Lepisosteus oculatus: one gene and its partners. The protein of the gene in region 1 interacts with the protein of each later gene in a pairwise test. Links are inferred from orthologs where the notes say so. Each region holds a gene or a part of one and is shown in the gene's direction. Other genes may lie near its edges.

What was found.
Region 2: the proteins of atpaf2 (region 1) and sorbin and SH3 domain-containing protein 2 interact in binary tests that used the Homo sapiens proteins (3 or more experiments, as listed by UniProt). The two-hybrid records come from large-scale screens. The link is inferred for Lepisosteus oculatus from reciprocal best matches to the Homo sapiens genes ATPAF2 and SORBS2.
Region 3: the proteins of atpaf2 (region 1) and trim23 interact in binary tests that used the Homo sapiens proteins (3 or more experiments, as listed by UniProt). The two-hybrid records come from large-scale screens. The link is inferred for Lepisosteus oculatus from reciprocal best matches to the Homo sapiens genes ATPAF2 and TRIM23.
Region 4: the proteins of atpaf2 (region 1) and rpia interact in binary tests that used the Homo sapiens proteins (3 or more experiments, as listed by UniProt). The two-hybrid records come from large-scale screens. The link is inferred for Lepisosteus oculatus from reciprocal best matches to the Homo sapiens genes ATPAF2 and RPIA.

What each region holds. Positions count from the first base shown.
Region 1 is NC_090714.1:17,606,407-17,613,711, reverse strand, and holds the start of atpaf2 (ATP synthase mitochondrial F1 complex assembly factor 2), read left to right. Parts: upstream 1-4,292; 5' UTR 4,293-4,528; coding exon 4,529-4,634; intron 4,635-4,865; coding exon 4,866-4,910; intron 4,911-5,241; coding exon 5,242-5,390; intron 5,391-5,735; coding exon 5,736-5,833; intron 5,834-6,173; coding exon 6,174-6,254; intron 6,255-6,693; coding exon 6,694-6,806; intron 6,807-7,098; coding exon 7,099-7,214; intron 7,215-7,305. Other genes in the region: gid4 (glucose-induced degradation protein 4 homolog), read right to left, coding at 322-452, 991-1,092, 1,362-1,469, 2,228-2,287, 3,631-3,819. UniProt on the Homo sapiens protein: Plays a role in the assembly of the F1 component of the mitochondrial ATP synthase (ATPase).
Region 2 is NC_090696.1:75,801,823-75,808,802, reverse strand, and holds the start of sorbin and SH3 domain-containing protein 2, read left to right. Parts: upstream 1-3,961; 5' UTR 3,962-4,418; exon of another isoform or gene 4,419-4,577; intron 4,578-6,980. UniProt on the Homo sapiens protein: Adapter protein that plays a role in the assembling of signaling complexes, being a link between ABL kinases and actin cytoskeleton. Can form complex with ABL1 and CBL, thus promoting ubiquitination and degradation of ABL1.
Region 3 is NC_090698.1:27,875,589-27,883,364, reverse strand, and holds the start of trim23 (E3 ubiquitin-protein ligase TRIM23), read left to right. Parts: upstream 1-4,774; 5' UTR 4,775-4,963; coding exon 4,964-5,059; intron 5,060-7,776. Other genes in the region: trappc13 (trafficking protein particle complex subunit 13), read right to left, coding at 1,144-1,212, 3,651-3,735.
Region 4 is NC_090696.1:29,001,176-29,008,846, reverse strand, and holds the start of rpia (ribose-5-phosphate isomerase), read left to right. Parts: upstream 1-4,670; 5' UTR 4,671-4,726; coding exon 4,727-4,915; intron 4,916-6,985; coding exon 6,986-7,046; intron 7,047-7,273; coding exon 7,274-7,329; intron 7,330-7,552; coding exon 7,553-7,612; intron 7,613-7,671. UniProt on the Homo sapiens protein: Catalyzes the reversible conversion of ribose-5-phosphate to ribulose 5-phosphate and participates in the first step of the non-oxidative branch of the pentose phosphate pathway.

The sequences.
Region 1 (7,305 bases):
AGCGACATGTGGACATACCACTCCCACAAAACCATCTGAGAAATTAGATGCACTAAAATCTACACAGTACCTGGCAGAAGAGTAAGCACTGACTGAGGTTACTGCAATCCTGCATGTTCTTCGCAGGGAAAATCAAAGTCCACTGCTTTCTTTAATGTTTCTTTTCCCAGAATGTCATCTGAACAGCAAATTCAGTTCACTATCACAACACCCTTTTAAAACAACCAACTCAGAAGCAAGTTAAGAATACTTTACGGAGAGGTCTCGCTCGTAAACGACAATGTGAACGTGACGGAGAAAAACGTCAGGTTTCATTCCTACCATTCTGAACTTCTGTGATAGTAATAGCCCTCAATGGTAGCTGTGGATTTCTGAAAGCAGATGTAATAAAACCCTGCAAAGGAAGCACCACTGATGTCCTTGATTGTGTGATCTGGGACTAAAAACTGCTCCTGTGGGAGGGTGAGAACAGATAATAAGAGAATTAAGAGCACTGGACACAGGGAAGGAAAACTGCACATGTCTTTGCAACTCTGAAAGACCTTCCAAGTTGTCATTCCCAGGTGACAGAGTTTACAAATCCCATCATATTGTGTGGACCGTACAACAGTAAACCATTTCTTCTGAATTATCAATAAGGAGGCAGATCAGTGCATCGGAAACAGTACCTTCTGATTATTATCCCTGCAACAATACTTATACATGTTTGAGAACAGCAACACATTCTTTCATTTCTGACCGAAAAATCCTAACCTGGTCACAAAAAACCTTACTTGAAGTACATTTTGTATTTAAAAACTAAATTCAGTTTTGCAATCGGCATAGCTCAAATGTTTGAGAAGACATCCTGCTTGGTTTCAGCTTTTTATTCTATCTTTACTGCTTGAAAACTACTTGAAAACTAAAAGGAAAATGCTACTGCTTTTCCAAAGCAAATAACTTATAATAAAAAACAATCCCAAAGAAACAACTTTAAATAAACGGTCTCACCTTCCACCTCATGAAGACATAGTCACTGTTTTTCAGCTCTTCATAATCAAAATCATCAGAGTTAAATGTTTTTGCATACTGATAAAAAGCTTGGAACTTGCCCTGAGGAGAGAGAAAAAATAGTTTTGAAAAAAAAAATACAACATTGTTCCCAGCAAGCTGCACAAGTTAAAATTATATTTATTGAAAGTGAGAAATGTGGTATTTTGCATGCAGGTTTGCTTGTGCAGCACACTACAGTAGTTCATCTATTTGTCAAAAAATCTAATTAGTGAACCAGTCATTTACATTTATCACAAAACTCAGCTGTACTGGACTTGATACAGAACTAAGACTCTAAATTGATTTGAGCAGGGGATCTTTGTTTATACCCAATGTTTGCGATCAACATCTTCGTCTGCATCCCATTTCCGTGTTAAAAAGGGGCGTTTCTTGCTGATGATTTCTCCAGCGAAGAATGTAGTAAGTGTTGGGTACTCCTGTGAGGAAAAATAAAAGTAAAAAAGACAACTGATGGGGAAAAAAGAAACAGCTGTTGTCTTATGTCTTTCAGGTCAAAGACGGGTTGTCAATGAGCAATGGGGTTTAGCTACAAATATGCTTAAACAATTTGTTTTGTGATGAAGGGGCATCTTATAAAGCAACAATCCACTAATAGCTGAACTCAGAATCTCCCAACCAACTTCCAAATATTAGTTCAGCACACTGGATATTGCCCCAGTAATGGATCAGCCAAGTCCATATTCATTTAGCCTTCCAAAACTTCACCTCGATCTTAATACCAGCACCCCTCATATAGCAGCCAATACTCTCCTCTATGGGCTACTGATGCTCACAGAACACAGCCCCTCCTGGAACAGCAGCTCTTCCTCTGAACCACCCCACCGACAGGTGAGGTATGTTTAACAGCAAAAAAAGTCACCGTAAAAATGGAGCCCCAGTGAAAGGAACTGCACATCAATCAGATCTGAGTAAAACCCTGTATGGCAGAAGTCTGAATGAGAACAACTGCTGCTACTGAATAAATATAACCAAGGCTGCAAGTTCCAGATGACGCAGAAATGCAACCTTAACCCGCCAGAAATACTTATCAACTGTGAAAAAGAGAAAACCAGAGAACTGGCACAAGCGACAACAAAGGAAGCAGAAACGTGAAGGTACCAGCTCGGCAGGTGTAAATCTCCCTTCAAACTGAACACCACAACACTCCCGTGAGCCACAGCTGTCTGAATCTCACCTCTGTCAGTCCTTTGATCTTAAGGTACCCGCACAAGTACGAGTCTTCCATCGTAACGTGCTGTCAAGGCAAAAAATGACAATATCGTCATGACAGCCAGTTCGGAGCATTACAACACGGTCTCAGATTTGAACTACCTGACTAAACAGCGGCATTGTTTTTAAATATTTGAAGCATGAGTCAAACACTGTTTCAATGTGAATCATCGGGGCTCCAACAGTTCCAACTTCCATCGGAGTCTAATTACTGGTGCTCAGAACCTACATACCTAGTGAGGCAAGGAATGACAGGCCCTCACTGCAGCCCCTGCTGCTTCTGCAGACCTACTTTGTAATTGAGGCTAAAAATCCAGTTTTTCTAAGCCAAGTGTGACACTTGAGACAATTTTAATTAACCCAGCTTCCGACACTAAAAACCCTTCCTCTGAGAGTGACTGCACAAGAAGAAAAGTGTATAATTTACCTTCAGCAGCACACATTTCACAAATTGATGTGTTGCAATATCATGTGCGCATGTTGTAGAGGAATGGTGAGCTTTAATAATAATAATGCAAACAGGTAAAGGTTTATTCCCCGCTGAAAACCGAAGAAAAGAAACAATGTTTCGGCCGTGGAGCCTTCTTCGGGTGACACCTGAAAAAGGCTGCACAGCCGAAACGTTGTGTTTCTTTTCTTCCTCTTCAGCATGGAATAAACCTTTACCTGTTCCTTTGCAGCCTACGCATGCTGAGCTGACGCAGCTATTATTAAAGTAGTTCAAGTAGGTAATGTGACTGAAATGCCACATCATTGCCGGGCAAAATACAAGCACCTTTGCTGGACCAGTTTCACAGAGTTCATTTTAACCTCCTATAAAACTCTCACAGTCCGAGGTACACTTTGTATGTGACAAGGATCACGTCATTTACAGCGCAGGTCTGGCTGCTGTGACGACTATGAAGAGGGCAACTGAGGATCTGGATGTCTTCAGTGACTGTTGTGCTTTTGGTACCAAGCCTAACCTGAAAAGCATAAGCCTTAGAACCTCCAATATTGTTGTATTTAACACTTATAAATTATTTTAAGTCAAACAACACAGTCCTAGGAGGTTAGAAATTGCTACAGTCGACTTTTTACTGGGGCTGTTCGAGCTAAGAAGAAGTTCTCAATAAAACTGAAACAGTGAAAGATTGAAAACAAAAACACCACAATCCACCTCGATAACACCACAGGGATAAGAACGATTTCAACACAACTTAATGTGAGATTGATCTCAACTGAGAAACGCGTCTACAAGTTTTTAGTTAATCACCTCCCCAGTGATATTAATACGTCTATGATAATATTACGTCGTTTTACTGGCCAGATTGTATGTTAGTCGATGACACTAGGCTCCGGTATAAATACTCTTCGTTTCTTACTTACCTGCAAAACAACCTCGACATCGTACGAATTCCCTTTGCTCTTCTGGTGTCCGCGGAACTTGGAGCCGCTGTACAGGAGCGAGGTGGCGACACCCGGCTGCTGCGTGTTGATTGGGGGAGGCGGGATAAGCGAGGCCGAGGCTATAAAGGCCGCACAGGCGGTACTGCAGCACTCGGTCCGGACCGGCATGTTTATCACGTCTGAAGGTCGCCCCAGCTATGGCCGACGTACGCCACAGAGACGGTAACAAAAAGGGGACAGGGGGAGAACTGTCGAGGCGGCTCACCGACTCACGAATTCTCCCCAGCCGCCGAGAGATGCGCTACCAGGGTCCCAGCAAACAGTAGGGACCTCAACGCAGCACCACGCAGCAACATCCCGCCAGCCTATTGGCCAGGGGAGCGCACCTGGCAAAGAAACCGCCGCTCATTGGATGGCCTTCTGAAATGCATTTTGGGACTTGTAGGTCTTCTAGCCCCGATCTGTAGTTTTTCCTCCGTTCTCCCGCAGTCGAACTCCACCTCCCATAACCCACCTCAGTGACCTTCGGACTGTTTCCGCCCCGTTCCTCAGGTTTCCCAGCGGCCATTGGAGAGCGTGTCCGAGGAGCAGTGACGCGCTTGAGGTCACTGACATGGCGGCGCCCATGCGGTTGAGCAGGTTATGACTGACCCTGGGAATGCGATTCTTTAAAGGGGAACACGTCCAAAAACACCATTAAAATATATGTGTATTGATTGCCGGGTAACTAGGATTCGATAATGCAGTGTGATAATGCATAATTTAATCAAGTGTCATAAGTCCCTATGACATGCTTTAATGCTTTGGTTACCCTGCAAAAGCGCATGAAATCGATTTGAGGTCGTGATTCCCGAAATAAGAAGAATCTGTCAGAGAGATGTTGCGGGGTCTGGCCCGGTTGTGCAGGAGAGGCGGCACCGCTGTCCAGTCACCGTGCGGCTGTGTCGCTGCAAGCTCGCCGGCATACTCTACTGCGACCCCGGGTAAGAGCCGGGTTCTGCCCGGCGTGTGGGAACTCGTGTCGCTTTGTTAGTCAATCGCTGATTCCGATGTAATTGCACAACAAGCTGGATGCCCGTAATGCGGCAAATGTATTCTTGTGTTCCGTTCTTACACAACCATGGTGACGTCTCTAGGTTAGATCATGAAAATACATTCTCTCTGTTTTTAATTGCCCGGTTCAATCAGATATTCGTATTTGCTTGTATCCACAGGGAGGAAGAAGTTCTACCAGGACGTCAGTATTTCACAAGGACAAGGTGCGGTATGAAACACATCCTGTTTTTTTCCTGAGGTAGACTGTAACAGATAACAGTTTTGTTTTAATATTGTGTCTCCTTTTTGTATTTATGACGATTCAATAAAAACTAAAAAAGAAAGAAAGAAACGACAGCAAGCCGTTTGGCTGATCTTGCCCGTCTCCAGCAGAGCTGTATTTGTCTTGTATTTTGTATTGTTCTGCAAGTGGATAAGTGTGTGAAACAGTGTCTCAGTGCTCCGCTGTGGTGAGGAATGTGCAGACGAGGTCCGGATCGGCTCAGGCTGAGTGATGTGCCGTGCTGTTCAGCGCCCGGTCTCCTGCGCCTGCAGGTGGGCTGTTTGAGATAAACCTGGACCGCGGGAAGCTGAAGACCCCGGGAGGGAAGTTGTTCACAGTGCCCAGCGAAGTCTTGGCAGTTGCCGTGGCGACGGAGTGGGATTCCCAGAAGGACACTCTCAAGTTCTACACGATGCACCTGGTAGGAACCTCAGCTCGCAGCGGGCAGCGTGTGGGGCCTGTGTCCTGAGAGTCCTGTCCAGGGTGTATCCCCCACTGTGGCCACTGCCTGCCGGGATTTGCGTATTAACCTCTGGAGTCAGAAAACCATCAGCCACTTGTGTACTCATTTAGTTTCCACTGGGTTCTTTTGTATGATCGGAAGCCAAAGAAATCCCCGAAAGGAACCATTCTGGTTTATTCCAAAGGGAATAAACTCTTAATTCTAATTAGGACAATATTCCAGCATTCAGGAACCCGAATCTCTGGAAGTTTCTCTTGAGATGTTGAAGGGCTGAGGTAACAGGCCCCGCTCTGTCTCTCCCAGACCACACTGTGCAACACGGCTCTGGACAACCCCACTCAGAGGAACAAGGAGCAGGTGATCACAGCCGCGCTCAAGTTCCTGGAGACCGACACCGTCTGGTGAGTCGGGAGTGGCCGAGCTGCGCACTTTCCCTGGCACTCGGCACCATGGGGTGGGCACAGGCTGTGCCAGTCAAAAGGCAGGCTTGGGGTGGAAGAAATTTATCTGAGCCTGTAATTAGGGTCCCTTTCCTCTTCCCTTGAAACCACTCTTTTGCCAGCTGTCTGTGTTCATGGTCATTTCCGTTGTTTTGCTTTACTGTGTCAAGGGAGCAATCTGGCGCAGACTTCAGACTCTTACTTTGCTGCCTAGTGTTTGTGTTCAGATCCCTGTGACAGGGGCTGGCTCCTGAGCTGCGGGTGATGGTTGTTTCACTGGTTTCTTTCTGCCTCCGGGCAGCTATAGGGTGGAGGAGCCCCCAGGGCTGGTGGAGCTGCAGAACAACGAGTGGGACCCCGTACTGGACTGGATTGAAAAGAGGCAAGTCTAGAAAGAGCTGCAGAGCTCAGGAGTGAAGAACATTAGAGCATACAGTGCAGGGTCAGGGCAGGTTTGTAACTAGTTTTAGAATAGAAATAAACATAACTAGATTTTGATGAGGCAACCGTGGATTTGTTTTAATTGCATAACAGATACAGCAGCGGTCTTTAACCCAGCTTCTGGAGAACTACATTGTTTTCTAGCTTTGATAGCATTCCAGAATTCTCCTACAGGAATTTATCATTTGCTAATGATTAGCCAATCATTTTGACACCTTTTAAACTAGAATACAGCAGGACTTCACAGGACGGTGGTTGTATTCTGAAAACTGTCCATCAATTAGCTGTGTCACTGACACCTTTCATATGTGTATGTGTGCTGTCCTGACACCTGATTACCACCACAGACCTGAGCTCGTTACTGATTGTTTTCCTCACAGGTATAATGTTGTGATCGGCTCCTCCTCCAGCATTATGGGCCCTTTGATCCCTAAGGAGACGAAGGCCACTTTCCGACAGCACCTGGCCTCCTACAACTTTTGGGCTCTGATAGGTACGGCTGGGAGCGCTGCCACAGTCTGTCTGTGTAAAACCAGTCACCGCTGAAAACACCCAACATCTGTCGGTCGAATTACATGCAATCATTTAGTATGAGAAGCAGGTACACATTGTCATAGATCCTTGTTTTCTTTAAAAAAAGGTAGAACACTTGCAATAATTTGCGTGTGCGTGTCTAAAACTCCTGTAGCTGGGGAGAAAGCGTAATTGTAGTTTTTAAATCCGTTCAGGAAGTGATCATTCCTGTGCCCGTCCACCCTGTCTGAACTTTGTGCTTTGTCCCTCAGGGCTAGAGTTTGTGATCGCGCAGCTCAAGTCTCTGGTGTTGTCTTTTGGGCTGATTGACAGACATCTGACTGTAGAGAAGGCTGTGCTGCTGTCCCGTCTAGAGGAGGAGTACCAGGTGTGTGTGCTGTCCTGACACAGCCTTAAAGAATCCTTGTCGAACAGCATAGCACCACTCTGTGGTTCATATACATATGCATAATGAGAAA
Region 2 (6,980 bases), on another chromosome or scaffold:
AGACACAGATATTTTTCAAGTGTCAAATGCGGAAACAAGCACCTTAATAAACGCTAGTTTCTTTTGTAGATTTCTTGGGAGCATACACGTGACATTAATCTTGAATTCTATGGGACATTTTTCAAGACGTTTTGGGTTTTTTATCCAACATTTGCAGCCCTGTTTCAACAACTCCAGTGTCTGCAAGTCTCCTTACCACTTCTGCTCTTATTGACTTGATGTAGCGGATCATTAGATTAATTGGACCAGTTTAACACTTTTCAAAGGTCTTCAGCCGTTAATAATGTAAAGAGAACTGGAAAACTGGCTAGATTCTGGCCTTCGAGGACTGGAGTTGTCTGCCTATGATTAAAGATCAAAGGTCTGGCTTTATTCATGTAATCAGAGAGTGTGCAGGCTGTGTTATTTGAGAAAGTTTAGGACACTGGGTTTTCTTCTAACACAGGATTTCTCAGACTTGACCCTCAACACCCTGCTGTGTCCAATCTTGTGATTATTTAATTTAGGATAAGACTGGACTTGTGACTTTCTTTACACTGTCTTTTGTGAATGTGTGGGGGTGAATAATTATGGTATTTGAGGCAAAAATATTTTACTACATTTTTAACTTTTACTAAATTTAATAAAAATTGATTGTTTGCTTTAAGTAAATACGTTTCAAACTTTTATTAATTTCACTTTTACTAAATCAAGTCATTTTTACAACAAGTTGTATTCAGTTTGTGAATTACAATTTATACTCAGGAACTGAGAGTATGAATTCAGAATAGAAATTATTCTGAGTTGAGAAATCAAAATCACTCTAGCTCACTCACTATATACAGCAGAGTAAAAGAACAAATAACTTGCTCTTGTGAGATGGTAACTCAATGGTAACGAGGTAATTGTTACGTGGTAACACAATGGTAATATGATAATTGTTAAATGGTAACACAATTAATTGGTAAATTGCTGGGAAAGTAGCCACACATATTATAAGAGTCTTTAATTGAAATCAGCCTCTTTAAATGTTTAAGAAAACATTAGGCACTTCATGTGACACAAGCTACAAACCTCCATTGTAGTACACAACTTCACAACACAAAGAGGTGCTGCAATTAATTCCAGTTGCTAAACATTGACAGAAACTTGACAATTGAATAATAATTACTATTATTCAGTAGTTGTTAAGCAATGTAAATCCCTGTGAAGAAAGGTCTAATAAAACGATATGGTAATGTTAATCCAAATTGTAAATCCCTTTAGTAAACTAGAACATAATTTCATCAGGCAATAAAATGAAACATAAACTATGGGGCAACATAGCTTTAACTCCATTTGAAAGAAAGCAGTTGGTTCTACATGTTAAGATAAGGTGACAATATCAGATGCTTGGAATGTTAAACCTTTTGGAAGTAAAGAGCATGTGAAAGTCAAAGATAAGAATGCTATTTTTTAGCAGCATTTATCACATCACTTCTTGTAATACGTACTGTTCGAATTGCTGGAGTCTGATGCTGGGCAGTATTTATAGTTGAACATGAGATAATTAAAGATATACTGTAGTCATGACCTCATCTTTAGCCGGTTGTACTAATCACAGGCTTCTTTATGGAGCAGGTCACTGCAAAGGCAAAGAAGCTGTTGTGACCTAGGCTCATCAAACAGCATTGACTTACAAAAATAACAACAAGAGGCTCATATTCAACATGGTTCATATTGAGAGGTGCCAGTCGAGTCCTAGATTTTCACTGGACGTCGATCTCCGGGAATGCTCCAGTCACCTAAGTATATCCAGCATCATGCTGACATTCCTGAGTGTCTCGTGTAAGGTCCACATGCCTGCCGAGAGCAGATTCGCAGTTAACAGGGCAGAAAACAAACCTGAGAGGGCACTTCATCATTGCAGTAGGTTTCCGAATTCAGATTGCACAGCAACAGCACAGAGAAAAATAATAGAGTCCAGAAAGGTCACCTCACATGCTTGATAATCTGGAATCTTCATCTGTGCTGTAGAAGTGAATGGTGGGAACTTTGCAAAGACAAAGGGCAAGGCAGTGAAAAATATATCATGTGGCAAACAAAGTTTTCTTGACAATATTTTAAAAAAGAAAATAGATTTTGTAACAATTTCTATTTAAAGAAACGGATAACAACGCTGTGAAGCCGATTGATTACACCAAGCCATACCTTTGCTATTTTTAACCAACAGCTTTTCATAAGGCTTTTCTTTTATTTGAGGAAGGGTGGGTCAGTCAAATGTATTTCACTGACTCGTTTTGAAAGTGTCTGAGATCATGTCAGGTAAGCTTATTGCACAGATTTCACCATTTTTTATTTTAACGATAAAAAAGAACATTGCAGTTTACTGAAAAACAAACAAAACAATATAAACATTAACAAGGAAACATTAACAATTTCATACTAATTGCATTACATCAGTAAATCATGTGCTGACTGCAATCAGTGCAGAGTGAAAATACTAGCCCTGCCATTGCACTGTGCATGCTACAGTACGCTCCCTGACAAAATTGTCAAAGCATTGAAAGATGTTGTACCTGTACAGTATGTGCTCCAGTTCTAGATGTGTATTGAGAGAAAAGACGTTAAGTCATTCATGAGTTACAGTGGTAGTGAACTCATTCCTTCAGATCTGTACATTATTTATTAAGGTGCCAGAGCAGCTCCTTCTGCTAGGGGTCAGCAGGGACATGTCTGAGTCTTTTTGTGATTATTTAGGGCATGCCATTTCATTGCCTATCAATAATGGAACGAATTTGTGTTTTGTTCCGGGGACTGAGGAGAAAGGTAGACTTGGAAGAAAAAGCACTGTCTCTTCTTTGTCACAAGAGTTTTTCTGGGGCTTTCATTAGTACCAGTGCACACTGTTTGTTCCCCAGCATCCCCAGTATAATTCATTAGAATCTGTTTGAGGTGTTACTCAGAGATCTGTAACTTATCATACTAAAAGCAGTCCTAAACAAATATTTGCTGCACAATTGCTGTGCGTATTCAGGAATTCTGCTGAATTCTACACAACCTATTTTGCACTACTGTATGTACAGTATATACAAAATACTTCTACACTCTACAAATGTGTCACAAACACATTTGAGATGTATACTCTGGTTATATCTACAGCGTACAGTACATGTGGTACCGTAATAGCTTTATAAAAAACAATGAATTCCGATTCATTACCGTAGAAGGAAGAACAATAATTTATTTTAGTACAATCTTTTCAGTTTAGGAAGACTAAACGAATTTTAGTGTTCAATAAACGAAATATTTTCTTTTACTTTAAGCGTGTTTCTTCCCAGCCCGTGCGTGCTGACGCAGCTCCCTACTGCCTACAAATTCATCAGCACTATGATGCGAGTATTGACCTATCGATTTCATCCACTTTCAATGAAATGAAATGGAAATCAGGTGTTGCAATAGGCTCTGATGAAAAATATGTGGTTCTCTCAGGCAAAATTAAGCTGAAAATACACAACTGTATACAAACTTGTTCCAAAATAAAACCCGTTTTCTTGACGTCCCCGGGCATTATTACTTTTTAATGCCTGAAAAAAGGGCACTGCTATTGTATATGCTGAAAGAAACCTTGTGTAGTTTTTTTTAATTTCATGTTTTATAGCATTTCACACATATTAAAAGTACCAAGCGTAAAACACCCCCCTTGATTGGTACAGCTTATCGCAAGACAGCGTCCCAGCTTGAACTGCCCGAACAGCAGCTACCAAGCTACCTTATCTGGGTAATGAATTACCCGGAATCACGTCTGTTACATTACACAAAACTAGAAGAAAATAACTAAGCCGGCACAAGGAAGTGTTTAGTGTTACAAAACGCCGGGTTTCTGCGCTATTCTCCGCGTTGACCCCCTACACGCTCAGCCAGGCCCACGGCACAAATTGAACTTGTTGGTCGTTTCCATGACTACGAACCCCCCCCCCCCCCGATTGAAGCCAATGAGCAGGTCCGCAGCGCCACTGGAGGCACCAGCCATCTTGCTTATTATGGGAGCGCGGTGTGGCAATATTCCCCCCTTTTATACTGGAATAAAATAATTTATTCACTGGAAACCAAGGGCTGAGGGGAGCACGACGGCGGATGATCGCGGGCGCTGAGCATGTTGTTACTGTGCTGCCACCCTGACTACCCGGCGGCAGCTAGCGTCTGGACCCTATACTGGCATGTAGGATGCAGAATAGTAACGTGACTCTGCGTTATCTCCTGCTCTGCCAAGCACCTTGCAAGCCGTGTTTTGTCTCCCTGTGAAGAGACGGCGTTACTGCTGCAATGCAATTTTAGCGGACCGCCGTCCACCCCGCAGGAGAGGAGCGAGTGCATCCCAAATCCGGTGGGGGGTGTGTTTCCCTGCGCCCACAGTCTCGGAGGAGCCTCTGTCGGACCGACGCCACCGGGAGAAGCAGGTGTGTGATTGTCGCCCGGGCTCCGGCGTGAGGAGTGGACTGCAGTCCCCGCTACCGCGAGTTTGCATGGACCTCACCTCACTTTGCCGCAAGTGCGCTGGGTCCCCTTGACTCCCGAAACGCAAGCAAGCCGATTTTCCTGGGATAACCCGGCGCTAGGTAAGGGACAAGGTAGCCCAGATGCGTCCTCGTCTGCCTGCGAATCCCTTTCTGGATGGTGGGATTCAACCAGATTTCACCTTTGTGGGTTAGATATCTCCCCCCCCACACCCCCGCCGTGCGCCTTCAGCTACCTTTTAAAAATAGGCTGCTGCCTTTGTTACATGCTTACTGTTATAATGGATCATCATATAAACGGATACAGTAGCCTGCCGTTTGTCAATCACCAGCCGGCGCATTATAAAGGAAAAAAAAAACATAGAGGAGGCTGAAGCCATACAGTATGTAATGTTGCAAAAACAAGAAGGCAAAATAAAGGCATTTAACGGCCCGGTGTTATTTCAAGTGAGCGGTGCTGGACATGCATTATTTATTTTTACTTATTTATTTACAAATACTCGAATAATAAGAGTTTGGGTTTCAACGCGACAGCTTTTCGCCGAGTTCCGCTTTACATTGCGCTGTAGTTATTGTCTCCGCCAGGCAAATGACTGGGACCGCAATCAAAAGCCTTCATTGTCGGGGCTGCTGTTCGCGGTGGTGTCTTCAATCGGCGCTTGGAGATCGGGGGGGTTTTGAAGTCCGATACACGTCGGGGAAACGGGAGAGTTCGGCCGTGGCATTCATGTGAAGCACTTTGATCGGAGGCTGATTAGAGGTCATTATCTCGCCATGCCCGCGTCGTTTCCAGTGGCACATTGACGGAGGGAGTTGTAATAAACCGGTTTTCATCAACCCGATTGTGTTTATACAGTCAGGTTTGAGCTGACTGTAGGTCACTTCCACAGTAATCGTCGAACACTCCGCTGTTTATGTGTATAGTGTATAGATAGATTTATGTGTATAAATAGAGACCGTGCTTATTCCCAGAGAACTATATTTTGTATCGAGCCTTGTGGATTGACAGGAAATGCTTTTAAAAACTTAATTTGCCAGAGGAAACGGAACGCGTCACCTTAAAACCATGAATCCTGATTTCATGATTAAAATTGCAAAGGATATGCTAGATGTTCATTACTGTCTGTTCAGGCATATTCAGTTGCTTTCCGGAGTTTTTTTTTTCTTTTAAGCGTTGAAATTAGGTGATCGTTTCCAAATTGTAATGCGTTTTCGGAGTTATAAAAGTAAACTAAATTTTAATAAAGGCATTTGCAGGTTGCTCCCCCCCACCACGATTTAATCTGTGTTGACACTTTTCACACCTTAACTGAAATCTTATTTGAAATTTGTATTTGTTTCTCATTTAAAAGCGACTGTAAAACAATGACGTACTGTAGATTCATCGCAGCCTTTCAGCAGTTTATATCACGTGATCGGATTGCATCGCATTATAATTTCGCACTAGCAGCTCTGTTAATGAATGCCAGAAACAGCAAATCAACTTATTTTGCCGCTACCCCCCCGAGTTGCCACACTTTAAAAGTATTAACCTTTAAGCACAGGATAGGACAGTAGCACAGGACACTGTAGTAATCATGTTGGCACGCTGCCTTAATGTAGTATCATTTAAAATTGCATTCATAGTATCGTGTCACTGGTTTTAACAGCATTGGTCTTAGATTATGGTTGCTATACAGTCTGTGCACTGATGCAAGACAAATAGCCTTTTTGCTGCTGATATTGTTGGGGGGGATTAATTGCTGAATAATTAGTTTGTTCTCGGGCATCTCTAATCAGTCACTTGAACTATATCATAGAAATTCTTAAATTCCCTTCATTTCTTAAAATCATAATGTACCAATGGGATTTTTTGCCTTACTAACTTAATTTAACATGTAAGTTATATGGTAAAGCTTATATACAGTATATAGCTTACATATCAAACAATAAAATTTATCAGTATTTTTGATGCTCACAATGTACTGTACTGATGCTCAATGTGGCACAATGGTTTGCAATGCACAAATAATTAACAATAGAAACAGGTTTTTACACAATCACTGGAACTGTAAAGACTTAAAGCAAATGTTATTTTTATGAGCCACTAAAAGTGCATTTGCTTTAGCAGTATTTACAGAAATTGCCAAGTCTCAAGTGCTGTTCTCTGAGATCTGCACAAAGCTTCTCAAATTATCCATATGTCAAAGATGCTTTGCTGTCATCGACACAATAAGCATGTCAGTGATCACAGCTTTGTGCTGTGAGCTTGTAACCAAGCCATGCTGCTATTCTGTGCGCTGTCTTCACCAGCGACGGGAGGAGCTGGTGCCGTCTTCTCCACTCCAGCTGTCCACCTGCTTTTTGTATTTCCACGCCGATGTCATATGGGTCAGGAGCCTCCGGCCCTGGCCTGAGGGCGTTTGTCCTGACGGGTGCTGTTTATATGGCAGTCTTTTGAGGCCACGTCGCGTCAGGTCCACGAGCGTCTCGGCTTTCACGTTTTCACACGCCCCCCGGAGGAAA
Region 3 (7,776 bases), on another chromosome or scaffold:
CCTGTTTTGACCTTCAAAGTTTTATTGAAGTGGAGTGTCCTGCTTGGGAACACTCCAGCTGTGGCACCATTCTATGTGGCCATGAAGATCACTGTACTTATTCCGGGATCACATGGATGCATTCAGTTTTGTTTTCGGAAGGATGGATGCAACTGCCTGTGTGTAGATCCTGTTTGTTGGGTATGGTAACTTTGTAACCCTGATATTCTGACAGGCCTGGACAAACGAAGAGGAGATCTCCTATCTTGCAGTATATTATTACTCTATGGAACACTGCACTACATTCTGAGAAATTCAATAATAATCCTTCTTAAAAAGAAGTCAGATCTTTGAGATTATCAGGGAATCTTGGAGAAGAATCACACAAGACACCTTTCTATTACCGTTTTTTACCTTTGTCACAGGTAACTGTGACTGTTAAAGGGGAACTGTAAAGCTAGTTTTATATTTTGGAGTCAGAAAGAATCCACATTGATGAATGTATTCAAACCACAATAAATGTATTATGTACTCAGTAACTTGTAAAGCCTTCGATTTACATCACATAAAAGCTCTGCGATTCAGAATGACGCAACGGTAACGCATTCCAGCCATACGACACTGTAAGATTACTTTATTGGCCATATACAATTTCTTGTATTAGGAATTTGTAAACAAACGGACTTGTGAATACATCTCTTTTAATACAATAAAAATTTCTGTACTCACCTTTGAGAGTTTTGCTTACCAAATACTAATTACTTGCTAACCCTGCATGCAGATCATGTTGGAACCTGTACCTGTACTTATTTGCTTGTACATCACATTAAATTAGTCATGACGGAGACTAGGGAGCAGGAAGGGCCGCACCATATCACAATCCTTGGAAACTCAAATGCAAGTTTGCAACACCCTGGTGATTTACAGCAGTTTACAAAATTCATGATTTTGTGCTTAATTCGAAATTTGTAAACTTTTTTTGATCGCCAACCGTCAATTAATTTATTCTTTTACCAAGATTTAATAACTTGTCTGAGAAACTGGGACTGCGGTTCCCCTTTAAAAGACAACTCATAAGTAATTTTATTGAAATGCCTCCAACCTTCCTCCTCACTCCTTCAGTACTGTGTGTACAGTGCAGTTTGTTCAGTCAGGGTTGCGTACCTGGCAGATCTCGGTCCTCACATGTCACCGGTGTGTTTGTGAAAAGCGTTGGTTTTGTCAATCGCATCACTGCAAGAGAACAGGCATTATCAGATTAACTTGCGAGTGATCTGTCACCTTTATTAATGGTGCTTCTCTGAAAGCCTGGTCTAGTATCACACCTAAGAGAATGGAATGCACATGGGAACAACTTTAGAACAATTAAGAGATGCAACTCTTCCAATTAATTTGCTTTATGTCTGTATTATTTTGACCACTGTACCATGAAATAATTTTGAATTATGCCAATGCACATTCTTTATGTTCTCTCTAATACTCTTAAGAGTTCACAGCTGTTTCTGTAGAGAGGAGACAAGTCTTTAATGACATGCCAAATGCAGCATGTCTCTGACCAACACAGTAATTTCAGTGTTTCACCACACACCCGTTTGGAGACCGGTGATGCCATAGTGAAATGTTCTGCTGTTTTTCCCTTTTGTTTTATTCAATATTAAGCTTAAGGTTGCAGACACTAGTGGACACAAATATCCAAATCTGTTTTTCCGGCTTAAGTGGAAGAGGCAACCTTGTACAAACTTCAGCTAAACTGTCTCTTTAATACAAAATTCTCTCACACACAATAATAAAACATGGTGAAGCTCTCACGTAGCTCTCTCTCTATATATATTCCTTCTTCTTGAAATATCAATTGTAATCACTGGCATTGAAATATTCAGTTCACAAAGATTCCCATTTTTTCCCCATTGTTTCATATTCAGAAAGTGCAAAAGACCCAACTCTGTCATGCTGCTTTTCAATTGTATGGAATTTCTCTTGATACATTTTTACTTTGTATTAATACAGGACATTGGGTGGCATTTAGAGATGAGTTTATTTTTTCAAGTCTAACAAAAAAATAATTACAATAAATAGGTGAAAAACATCTATTGTGTTAGAAATCAGTTCATAGTATTAAAAATTTTTCATTCATTTTCCATCAAGACTACATGCTAAAAATGGTTCCATGTTTATGAACTACTAAATTAATTTCACCGGTTAAGTTCAACTGTTGTTTCATAAACTTTCCGATATATTCACTATACAAAATATCACAGAAAACCCAAATCTGCCCCACATCTCGTTGAAAATTTGCGTTGCAAGAAGGAAGTTTGGAATGTCTCACTGCCCTGCTCAGGACAGTCCAAACCCATTCCATGTCTTTTCTGAGGCAGTTCGATTCCTCAATTATCCACTTGGCCCTCTGCAGTGAGTGGATCTGGAGGCCTTCCAATATTTCCTGGAGCTGTCTGGAGAAAGGCAGAACTTCCTGAAGTCTCCCAGGAAGAGAAACACTCCATGACCTTCTAAACCCTCCTCCTTCTTTCGAAACACTTGCTGCGGAGTTTGGCGAACCTGTGCGCAGAGACAGCGCCCTCTCCTTGCCCCTTTGAGCTCTCGCCCTCTTAAAACCCGTGCAGAACTCCAGCAGGTCTTCTGTGCAGTCATAGCTTTGAGAAGTCGCCAAAGGAGCTGAAGAGCTCAGCTGACACCTGATTTGTTCCACCTCCTCTGGCGAGATAACTGGTGGGCGCGTTGTGGGTTTCAGCGGTAGCTTGCTGGCATCATCTGGGAACCAGGGTACAAATCTTGGCAAAGGAGCACAGGGAAAATCTTCCAATGCCCTTTCGGCTATTTCCAACACATCATGTAGGTTACCTTGACGATTCTTGTAATGCAAGACTACATCCATACTATCACTAGCTCTTCCACGGAACGCAATTACCGAACTTGGTTTCGGTGTTTCTTTAACTGACGATCCTTATGGATTTCAAGGACACCAAGAAATCTGTCACATTGGTCGGTTTCCAGTTTCCAGTGCGGGGCAGCTGAGAATACCTGAAGCGGAATTATGGTGAAGGTGTGAAAAGATCAGGTAACAATCACAGTAAAGCAGCCGAAGCCTCCATCCTTGAGTCACCGCGAATGACCAGCTCCCTAACAACTTACGCATCAAATCATATATCCCGTTAACAGCTAACTGCGCATCACCTGCAAAAAAATGAAAAGTCATCCCTCTCGTCCTTTTTTTTATAATGAAGAATTTGTTCCACATATACTATGTCTGACCCATAGTATCATTAACGCAGAGGGCATATTTATTTTAGATTTGACTTAAAACAATGTTTGGCGTTTAGAAAAAAAAACTTCTCGGGACTTTGTACGACTCTAACCATGCGAGACACATTAGTCCATTAGACTTTCGGACAATACACATATATTTTCAGAGACATAAGACTTGACATCAAACAAGGCAAAATATTATAAACTCATACATGGTTGTTTTAAATAAAGGCAATTGTCTTGGCTATCTGTTTACGGACGGAAAACCGATTGCGGATTTATGTTGGGGCCGTAATAAAGTTCTAGTCAAATTAACCATAATAATTAAACTCACTCCTTGGACGCATAAAAATATAGATCATACAATTGTTTGTTTCAATGTCAATAAAAAAACCCGAAAATATTACCTTTTAAAGCCAGCAAATGCTCTTGTTTGGCCTGGTTGACATCCATCTTCCCTGTCTGCGTGAACCTGTGAACCTTCACCTGCATTGCAGAATAGTGTACGGAGAGCAAATAGGAACAAACAGTGCGGACGCGTTTCTTTTTCCTTTTTTTTTAATTGGGGTTTTAGTGTCTCCCGGCGGAGCTTCATTAACACGCACACAGGGTACTGGGGTTCACGACGTCAGCAAATTCTGTGCCCTTATGAAAAAGAGAACAAACTCTCATTTAATGTTAATATAGAAGCATGTAATTAGCAAAAATAATTGAAGGAATCGTTATCGCCTTTCATTTAGAGATAATGCACTGTTTCATGCATGGAATCAAGTTACACGTTTGGAAACAAAAAACTACAAAGGTATTAGCTTTTCATAACTTTTTTCCATGTTGTATACATACTGTATATTAATGACTTAACAGCTGTTTACCATGCTCATGGTGAATGCAAAGGGACCTTATCACCATAGACCGTATTAAAATTGACTGGCTAGATGGAGTTTGATATAGTTGAAGTGGTCTTGAAATTGGAATTTAACATTAGAACATCCAAGCTACAAAAAAGTGCAATATCATTATATAAGGATTACAATGGCTCATTGTACACATGGCAATTGAGAATGTAAAAGTGACGTTAAAGAGAGCAAATAAAATCATATAAGAAAATTCAAATTGTTTAATGGGAAAATGTATTCTGAATTCAAACGAAAAAAGTGTGTGCACCATAAAGTGTATATTTATTTTTTTCACTGTGACACTTTCACCCTTCTTTTGCATTATTACTGCATCAAAACTTACTTCTTAACACATTACTCGAAAATTGGCTCTTAAACATAAGGGAGAAATAAAATACAGTATTTTCCGGCTGAAAATAATTAAAATGCTTAAGAAAAAACACATAAACTCGACTAAAAAAATCTTAAAATTCTTTCAAAGTCAAAGATTCCGCCTTCAAAGCCTCCTCTTCTGCTACACAAAAACTTCCTTCACCGAACCTCTTCAACGCGCAATCGCACCTGCAGCTTTCTGGAAGCTGACGGAAACAGCTGACAGGAACGTCCATTTTGCTTATTCGGGGGAAGGTGGAAGTTTTAAATAGGAACTCGGTTGTTACTTTACACACATATGTCGAGGAGATTAAAAAGACTGCTTTTAGAACTATAATTTGAGTTTTTATTTTCCTATTACAGTGCATATAAGCATTTTTATCTCGATGCCATTCTGCCTACGTGCAATCGGACCCACCTAGGAGCGGCTGGGCTGGTGGTAGAGCCCGAGGATGGCTGCTGCTGTAGGTGTAAACAAGCAGGCATCTGCAGCGGCAATGGAGAGCTGTGTTCGACACGGCCGGGCGGCTGCAGGAGGCACGGTGAAGGTGAGTGAAGCCGATGCTCAAAACGGTCAGTGACCGAAAAAGAAAACCTATTGCGACGCCCGCAGAGAGGGGTGCATTGCCGGTGACCGTGGTTGACAGTGTTGGCGAGAGAGAGCGAGTTGGGCGGTCGCTGCTGTCGTGGCTCGGATGCTGTGTTGCTAATGTAGCTGCACCAGCTTCTTTGGTGCTGATGACAGCCTCTGAAAATGCGATGTTCCCATTGTCTTTTACGTAACCCTTTAACTCAGTTTGCACACTGCAGTTTAATTCAGAAAAATATATTAATCATGCGTTATTTGTTATGTAAGTGCAGTATGACCAAGATCTCATGACAAGGGACTTGCAATTTGTGTGGCACAGAAACGCCTGTGTTGCAAAGAGGAAAGCGTTCTTTGGCTTGCTTAGACTTGTAACTAAGTCTGGAAATTTCCAGCGGGTTTAGAGCAGGCTTGCTCGCCTGCGTTGGCGTACGCATCAAAGAAAAGGCTGTACTTGAATACAATTGCATGTTTCAAAATATAGACAAATTGCACTTCCTGTGCGCATGTAAATCATTGTTTTTGTTTGTGGTTATACTTAAGATCACATATTTGACCGAGACGTAGTCACTTAAAAATTGAGTTTTGTGTATCGCACACACTTCATTGGCCAGTTTTCTTATTACTTCAATATTGCATAAAAATGTTAATAACCCTGATTTTAAGTCTATGCGTGCAGATGGCTAAATTAATTGTTTTTATTTTTGGTAACTGCATCCATTATTTTGTGTCTCTAATGTTATTATCATTAATTCAGATGTCTGATATCAATTGTGCAGCTTTCTTTTTAGTAGCAACAGAAGAATCTTGCTTACCCACAAACAAGCAATATATCGATACCGACATTACATAAAAATAAATTTACAGTTATCTAGATCTAAAATAGGGAAAGTCTGACTGAATACTGTAATCTAGTAAAGTTGTAAAATTTGTGAATGAATGACCCAACCACACTGGGATGAAGTTAATTTTCATGGTCTAATTTTTTTATGTTTGCAGAAATTAAACCTGCTCCTTGAGCATGACCATGTAAAGATGCATTTGCATGGCGTTTCTGGCAGAAATAGCATAGAGACAAATACTTTGAGCAGTAAATAAGGAATTGCAAACATCTCCTTCAGAACTCGTTTTGCTCGCAATTTGATTAAATCCAAGTTGCTTTACTCTAACGGACTGTTCTCAAATATGCTAATGTTAATATATTTCGTCAGCTACAGTATAATAATACTGCTCATTCTTGTGCAATACATAAAATGAAAAGGGTTGTATTGAGCCATCAGTTTTTTGCCTAATGTTTTTGAATTTCCAGGTAGCATTAAACCTCAAAATGTCCCAGACTTGAATGCATGTAGAGAGTATCCCCGTGCTGGACATTTCCTCTGTGTTTGTCCCCTTGTCTCCTCTCTTTGCCTGCCTGTAAAAGCTTTCAAACATTTGCACAAGAATTCTGCTCAGTGAAAAAAAAACTGTTAAAAATAGTTTTTTCCCCCTCATCTAGTAATAAAATGCCTTTGTGAATTGATTTTGTGTTCAGTCATCTTTGCTCCTCCATAGGTGTATTACTGGAAACCTTCAATATATTACACTCATACAGTATGTTTCCCATTCTTGTACCTCACTATATTTCGTGACTTCTTTAAGACACCATTCTTTTACCCTCATTCTCTATGATAAGACACCAAATGTTTTAATAGGAGACTATTCTATTACTTTTCCGTGTAATTTAAACAGATGTAATGAACAGTTAAGAAACTGCATTTTAAGAGTTGGGGGTGAAAAGAACAAAAATTTAACATTCAGGTAAAATATTAAATAGTTTTAAAACTTAGTTTAAAGCCTCACTAAAATTAGAGTCAAATTCCTATTATGTATGATAAGACCGCTTCAATATGAGTATGGTGAACATCCTATAAAACAATTTGTACTTAGTGTAAAACAACGTGAGCTTCCAGCTTCTAAGGTCATTACACACCTCTATACTGTACCTCATGCTCCTGCACAGACCTGGTTAAGTTCGACAGCTGAAAAATTTGGGCTTTTGGATACTCCTAAAGCTTTGCTGGAGCTGAAGTCAGTCTCAATCTATGTAGAAGCAGAATTCTCCTGGCCTTGATGACATTCCATCTCGGCTAGTGCAGGCTGTGTTTGATCATGTTAGTCCAGTAATATTCAATTCTAGACATCTTTCATGGAAAAACTCTTATCTCATTTTCAGATATTATTTCTATTTTTCCTAATAAAGATAAAGGTCCACAAAACTGTTCAAGCAATAAGCCACATCACTTGCTGGATTCTGACTTTTTTTTTGGCAAAAAGATCTTTTTAAGTGAAAAAAGAGGCATGCATGTGTGGCTTTGTGGGAGGTTGGTCCCATGCCACTGATGCCCAGACTGCTCCTACTTGATGATAGTTCCTGCACATCAACATCTTGATTCTTTTCTGCAGCTATAAAATCTGCCTTCCAGGACTGAGTGGAGAGCAGCATTGCTTTTAAATCATAGAGAGTTTTGTTCATTTGTAGATATACTTCTTGAAAGTGTCCAAATAGCCATTATCCTTCTTGAAAATAATTAAATGACATTGCTGAGCTCCAAGAGCTCAAATCTTGGCCCAGACAAAGGCTTTTTATAATTTACACAATATATTCAATCTGCCCCTTTCTTTTTTCTTTTTTTTCTG
Region 4 (7,671 bases), on another chromosome or scaffold:
TTGTGTTTCTCTTCTTCTCTTTTCAGCATGGAATAAACCTTATCGCTATAGTATACTTTACGCTATAAATTGTTGCATTTTGTTGGGTTCTAATTGCTTCCCACACTGGGTGAAGAAAGTGGAAAGTCAAAAATACACTTTCCACTGCATAGCTCCTTCTAGTTCAGTCCCACCCATTTGATATTTCACTTTTTTTCTTTTTCTGCCTATCTGTAATAGTTGTGTTTGTCCATGTGATCACATTAGATTGAATTTGCCAGGAATCTCCCCTGATCTGAACTCTGTTTAGTGTTTTGCCTTGCTTGTGTGGTGTGAAAAATCAGAGGTCTCTGTCCCCTGTCCTAACCGGTACCTGTACACTGACAGATACTGTTGCTGCTGCCCCGACTGCTCCAGGGTGGGCCGTGGTCTTGGTGCCTTTTGTGATCCTGATGCAAGTGGGCTGGCTGTAGAGTGAGACTGCACAGGAGTCTGGTGGGTATTTGATGTGCACTCATTGATACTGCACCACTATATACAGTATAGGAAGGGTACAGAGTGGTGTCCATACAAGGATTTTATATGACGCTTACACACAGCAGTTTTTTAATGATTTTTCAGAACAGATCACTCCGAATAAATGAACTGCATTTTAATTTTGGAAAGAAGACCAGTCCAATTGAGAGATTGAAAGCAGATCCCTGGCACTGCAGGGCAGCTTGTCACTTCCTCACTGACAGCACTGTCAGAGAGCAGACATGATGCCACATGTACAGCTGAATGTAAATTGCAATTGTCACATGATCAGCTAGGTCTTTGCCATATTTTCATAAGAGGTCGTGCGCATTAAGCGCAATGAGCAGAGGCGGTTTAGTGCAACACATACGAAGAGCCAGTTACTGTGAAGCAAGACCCTTTTGAATCCCACATGTCCAGAAATGGTGATTTTGCTGTACTGTACACTGCTGGTTTTAGGGTCTGAAGGCAACATTGTTTTAAACCTTTGGCCGCCACATGCCAGTTACCGCTGTGATTCCTCCTGCTTAAAACCTCCAAAACCAGGAGGATGCAGTCTTCCAGGCTCATGGTCTGACTGTGCTCGCAGCACTTAGACTACAGTAACAGGGATGGGGTTAAAGGGGAACTGCAAGGCTGTTTTATACAGTATTTCAGTAAAGCACTGATGAGTTAATTTCATCACAATAAAAGTAAAATGTATAGAGTAACTTCTGAAGAGCATTGTAAACAAGCAAACTTGTGAATACATCTCTTCTAATCCAATAGAAATATCGCTCTCCATTGTAGACCAATACTACTAGTTAACTCCACATGCAGAACACATTGGAACACTCCGCAGTGAAATGTCTGCTGCACAACAACATGTCGCTCATACATAACATCACATTAGTCATTACGGAGACTGGTGAGCAGGAAGGACCACTTCACGTTGCAATTCATGGGCAATCAAATGCAAGTCGGCAACAACATGACAACTTGTAGTACTTTCACAAAGTTCATGCTTATTTCGAAATTTGTGATATTTTTCTACAACGTCAATGACGTTATTTTGTTACCAAGGTTTAATAACCGATCTGAGAATTAGGGATTGCAGTTCTCCTTTAAATATTCACTACTTAACACACTGCATGTGCAACAGAAAAGCATGGTAACTCTACTGTAGCATATACTGTACAGTTTTAGCCCCCATGCTGGTTTTTATAGTCCTCCTCACAATATGCTATAATCTTTGCATGTTGAGTACTGATGTGACGGTGTAGCCTAATCAGCTTTCCCATGCACTCACCCCAGGGTGGAGGGACAGTGTCTGCATGACAGATCATCTGTGCTGGACATTACTGGGACAAGATGAAGGACCCTCATTCTCTGCTTCATGCAATGGCTTTGGTTTGCATATGGATTTCTAGTAGTGCCTTGTATTCTTATTAGGCTATCCTGAACTCTGTAAAGTGCTAGTAGTTCAGGTGGGTAGCTGCGTCAGCATGCGTAGGCTGCAAAGGAACAAGTAATAGGTTTATTCCATGCTGAAAAAAAGAAGAAAGAGAACACAACGTTTCGGCCGTGGAGCCTTCTTCAGGTGTCACACCTTCACACCTGAAGAAGGCTCCACGGCCGAAACGTGGTGTTCTCTTTCTTCTTTTTTTCAGCATGGAATAAACCTATTACTTGTTCCTCTGTAAAGTGCTGGCAGTTTGCTCTTCATCACAGTTTTCCTCCTCACTGTGGAGGTGGGGATTTAGTTCATAACCTCAGGTGCTCAGATCTCAGATCTCAGGTGCTGTCCATCACGTGTGGGAGCTGGAGACAGGAAGCTTTCTAAACCCGGTCACCCCTGGAGTTGAACATTCACAGGCTACTGTGGCACAGTCTGTGCAACTCCAACCCACTTTGGCTGCAGACACTCACAGGAGTGCGCTCAGCGGATTAGTAATGAAAACTCACGAGAATTTATTTGGAAAATTTAAGATGTTACTTAAATTGCAGTAAGGCTTTGCCCCACAAAACAAAGCATTTTTCATCAGCATAAGACCAGCTGAAAGACTGCCAAATGGGCTGAATGGTTTGCAATTTTTCTTAAGCAAGCAGGCCAGTCAGCTGATCTGGTTAATTTACTTGCCCCACCAGACCCTCTAGCGTGCTATGGACAGTCCCTCACACATTTAAATCATATAACCTATATTTATAATATACATGTTTATTCTGAAAATACAGATTGTATACATAAACACCTCAGAAGAAAACATAATGAAACATCTTCAATCAGTGACAGTCTCACTGCTGTGCCTGTACCAGGCCAGGAGTGGGCGCCAGCACCAGGCTGGGCTGTGTGTCTTTGCAGTTTCTGTGTGGTTACAGGCTTGGACACACAGGTTGAGACAGGTCAGTGTAACAGCACAGGAGTCCATGGTCTTTGAGATCAGACTGGACCAGGACAGCAGACCAGGCTGAGCTCCCAGCTCCTGTGTGCTGGGTCACTGAATAGATGCTGTACTGTCACAGATAAGAAAGTACCATGAACATACAGTATGATGACTAATTATTTCATTTAATCTTAGTGCCTATATGTTATGTATATACACATCATGTATATACACATTATTAAATAAATACTATATCAGTCAAATAAGTAGCTCAACAATTGCATCATGAGTTTGTTATAGTAAGTACTTTAAGTAAAACTGTGATGACATTTGCATTAGCTGTACTGTTGCCCAGACCTGAGACACTGGGAGACAATACGTGGAAGCTGGCTAACCAGTCTGCTAAAAATAGTAAAAATAATGCTGTCCTAATTTCAGATGGACACACACACAAACATAATAACAAAAATAATGATGATGACAATGATGATGATGATGATGATGATGATGCCAAGCACATCTATCCAGGCAAGGTATGTATTGAGGGCTTGAGTTTCTAAGCTGGAGGGGGACACAGGCAGGAGTCTCAGGAGCAGGGGCTGTGACCCCTGAACACCAGCACTGCACTGCCTGGCACTGGCTGTGTGTTCTGTGCAAGAACTCCATCTGACCAGTCAGTCCATCAGCACCCCTCCGGCTGAACTCACTGAACAAACCTCCCTTCCCCGTGTCTCTGTTCTGGGCTGTGATTAGACCAGGATATGTTTACAACGCTATTATAACTCAGCATGGGTGTTTCTTGGTCTTTATTCTTTTCTTATATATTAGAATATAAAAACCTGGAACTTTAGATAATTTTATAAATTATTAGTAAACTGAGTTTCTGAGACGTGGAGGCTTCACAAACAGGTTTATTGACTCTTTATTGCTCTGCCTCTCCATGCACCCCCATCCTGTGGAGATGGGTTCTGTTCCGACCCACTCCAGTCATTTTATTGCATTTTAAGAATATCTGGATATTTTGGAAAGAGTGTTTTTCTTGTTTTGCCTGCTATGCCTGTAATAAACGCTGTGCATCTTACTGACAATAACATTACCGGCAACAATAAAATGGTCTGAAGAATGTTGGCTATTTTCTGTGACCCCTGGAAAGTTTCACATTTAGTTTTTTTTTCCTTGATAACGTACTGTAGGTTTAAGGATTAACAATTGTTACCACTCTTTCCTAGTTCTATACACCACCTTACATGATGAATCAATGTCTCTATGGTGCAACACAATAGTACTGGAAAAACAACAAACGTCTCCAACAAATAATATAGTAGAACAGTGTTATAGGAGATAAGATTTGTTTTACATGTTTTAGAAAGCAATTGCATATAGAATGAAAGATTTCCTGCTAGAGTTTCCATTACCCCTGGGGACACAGATAGGAGTAGTGTAAATTCATAATGGAGAGAGTGAGCCACACTCTCCGTAAAGTTCTTGGCATTTTTTGGAACCTACTTTTTTATAGAGGACGTCTAGGTTTTTTTTTAATTTGCTTAATCAATTCCATTCAAGCTGAATGCAGCAAACCCGTAAATCTCAATTTACAGACTTCAAAATACGCAAACTGTTCGCGTACACTCATACAAGCAACATTTGACTCTGTACAAAAGAGTTAAATATGAACACCGTGCGACCGGTATGCACTGCATTTTGGGAAGTGTAGTTCACATTGGGACCAACCCACTCGTAACTCGACCGTTCAGCAAATTTAAAAAACTACTATTACCGGCTCGGGTTGCGTTGCAGACAACTGCCGATTTTTTTTTTTGCACGACTTCCTGAGGTAGTGGAGGCCGGCGAGGCAAGGGGGCTGGATTATGAGGTTACAAAGGGAAATCTGTGAGACTCTCGCAGCTGGCTTTCTGGGGAGGCCGGGGAGTCTTGGCAGGAAGATATTCGCCGAGGGACACGTGTTTTCGTGTAGGCGCTTCTGCTGCGGGAGGAGAACCATGGCTGAAAATGCAAAGAAGCTGGCCGGCTATGCTGCCGTGGACAATCACGTGCAGGTAAAGACTATGAATGACTCCGGTAATACCTGTGCATTTCTTCTAATTGACAGATCGCTGCAGGAGGGACGTGCGCTGTGTTTTAATGAAGTGCACAGCACTTAGCAGAGCTACATACCCGAGGTTTAGCAGCGGCGCTCTTTGCACAGAGCTGTTGCACGGGGTGGTTGTGCAGGATTGATCACTGTATAATTAAATTAACCCCCCTCCTGAGTCACAAGACGTCGGCTCAGCTTGAGGGCTCAGAATTATATCTGCTGCATTGAACCTATTGTGCCTCGTCATGGTGAAGAAAGCTCGTTATTGGAGTCTCCCTCGTGTCAATAAAATTTCGTATGCTAGTTTTGTTCATATATTAAACTTCATGAGTAAGCTTCTTGATCACGTACAACCTGGTCTTCCGTTCCAAATTAGGTTTCAGTCTTTAACCCTCATTTAGCAGTTAACAACATGATTCCGTAGTTTAACAGGGTGATTAGCTTACCCTCCAGATGCCTGACCCGTAAAGTTGATCAGTGTACAGCAGCAGCAGGTTTCGCAACTATGCAGTGTTTGCAGAAAGCAAATACAGTTTTTTTTCCCTTCTGTTGCAGTGGGAGTTTGCAAAAAAAAAAGGCAGTATATTGTCTTTTAGCCCCGTACTTGTGTTTTGAAAGAGCACGTGTTCTGGCCCGCAGGAGCCCCTGGTCCGAGGGCAGGTGTCAGCTGAGCTGCAGACCCTGACGCAGCTGGGACTCTTCCCTGCGGTCAGCAGCAGCAGAATACACGCTCTCGTGCGCGCGGTACCTGGTTTTCGTCGAAACCTTGTAGCCGATTACTGCAGAGCTCGGTCATTTCTGCAAGCCGCCCAATGTCCTACCAATACTGCATTGCTGTTTTTGTCACAGGGATGCATTTTCAAGCGCAAGTCAAGTTACTTAATAGACGATTTTGGGGACCAAATGTCATGTTTGTGAATGTTATCACTGATCAGTAACATACTGCTACAAGAGAGAATCCATAAACTGTGCGTTTGCAATAAATACGGATAATATGCGTCATCCGAGTGGGAAAAGCGAGGTGTTGACAGATTCACTCTTCCAAAGGCCTGCATGGGAGCTCTGTTATCAGAGAGTGTCTCAGACTGGGTGTGAATTGGATGCTGTAAACACACTGTTGTGGGGCAACATTTGTGGTCAGTTTTACCCACAACAGTTCTTCCTGTTTTTGATTACTAGACATACAGACAGATGCAATGCAAGAGCCACTTAATGCAAATGTTAATAATAATAATAATAATAATAATAATAATAATAATAATAATAATTTTGGCATTTATATAGCATGTTTCATCTCAAAGTGCTTTACCTAGGAGGGGACCCTATTCATTCACCACTGAAGTGCATTGTTCCCAGTCACCAAAGAGGTTCCACCTACTGGTCCACCGACACCACTTACAGCAGCATTCATAGATCGTGAGCACCTAATCAACAAACAAGCTCGATGGGCCAAATGGCCTCTCCTCATTTAAAATCTGTATTTTCTTCATCTTTTTAACCTGATTTTCCGCAGAGGTCTCCTATCCCAGTACTGACCAGGCCAAGCCCTGCTGGGCTCCTGAGCCCTGGTGAGATGGGGCTGCAGCATAGTGTACAGTGGAGGTAGAAGGGGCTGTTGCAAAGGGGAAAAGGTTTTACAGCTCTGAATGTGAAAGGAAATGAATAAAGACAGCAGTTGCACGTAGTCACCTCCCCCCCTTGAAGAGTCGGCCCCTCTCTGTCGTGCCCAGTAGTTAGTGGTGCAGGTAGATGCTGCCCCCTGGAAGATCTTGTCTCCGAACTTTCTTCATCTGCAGCTGGACTGAGACAGGAAATCCAGCCGTGTGACTGAGATAGAAGTACAGGTGTGATTGTGAGACCCTGTGCAGGCCAGAGGAGACCTCTTCTTTAAACAGCTGCCGTCTGCTTGTCTGGAGCTCTGATGCAGTTAGTGAGCTGGTGTGTCCACACTTCAGGACATGCTTTAGATCAGAAAGGCACCAAGAGGAGCAAGAAGCACGTGACCTTTCCTCTTGTTGCTCTTAACCCTCAGAACAACCATGCTGTTGGTGTGGGCAGTGGCACCACTGTCGTCTACGCTGTGGACAGGCTGGGTGAGTGTCCCTCTCTCCTTTTTTCCTTCACCTCCTGGTACCTTCCCCCTGTTGTCTGAAGCAGGAAGATTCCAGCTGCACACACGTGGCTTGGAGCAGACGGTTCTTCTTCTTTGTCCTTTTCCTGGCTGGGCAGTAGTTAAATGCTGGTGTTGCTCAGTTCTGGTGGGAACCTGTAAGGGCCAGTCTCAGGATGCTGACAGATACTCTGCTTGTGTGTTTTCCAGCGGAAAGAGTGCGACAGGAGAAGCTGAACATCGTCTGTGTCCCAACATCCTTCCAGGTCAGTGTGTCGGCCTGCCCGTCATGAAGAGAGGGAGCGAGTTCAGCGAAAGTGTGAATTCCATAGTACCATAGTTGGAGAACCACTGCATTAGATAATTGCCTATGAAGTTAACAAGTTGTAAGTTTGTGCTCTGTGCAGCCTTGTGTGTAGATGGACCTGGATGCACCTGGAGATGGGGTTCCCCTAGCTCTGTCAACTCTTTTCTCTCTCCTGTTTTCAGGCCCGTCAGCTGATTCTACAGAATGGTTTGACCCTGACTGACCTTGACCGGCACCCTGAGGTACTTTTCACAGTGATGGGGGACAGCTGCACCACAGCAGGAACCAAAGAGAATCCTAA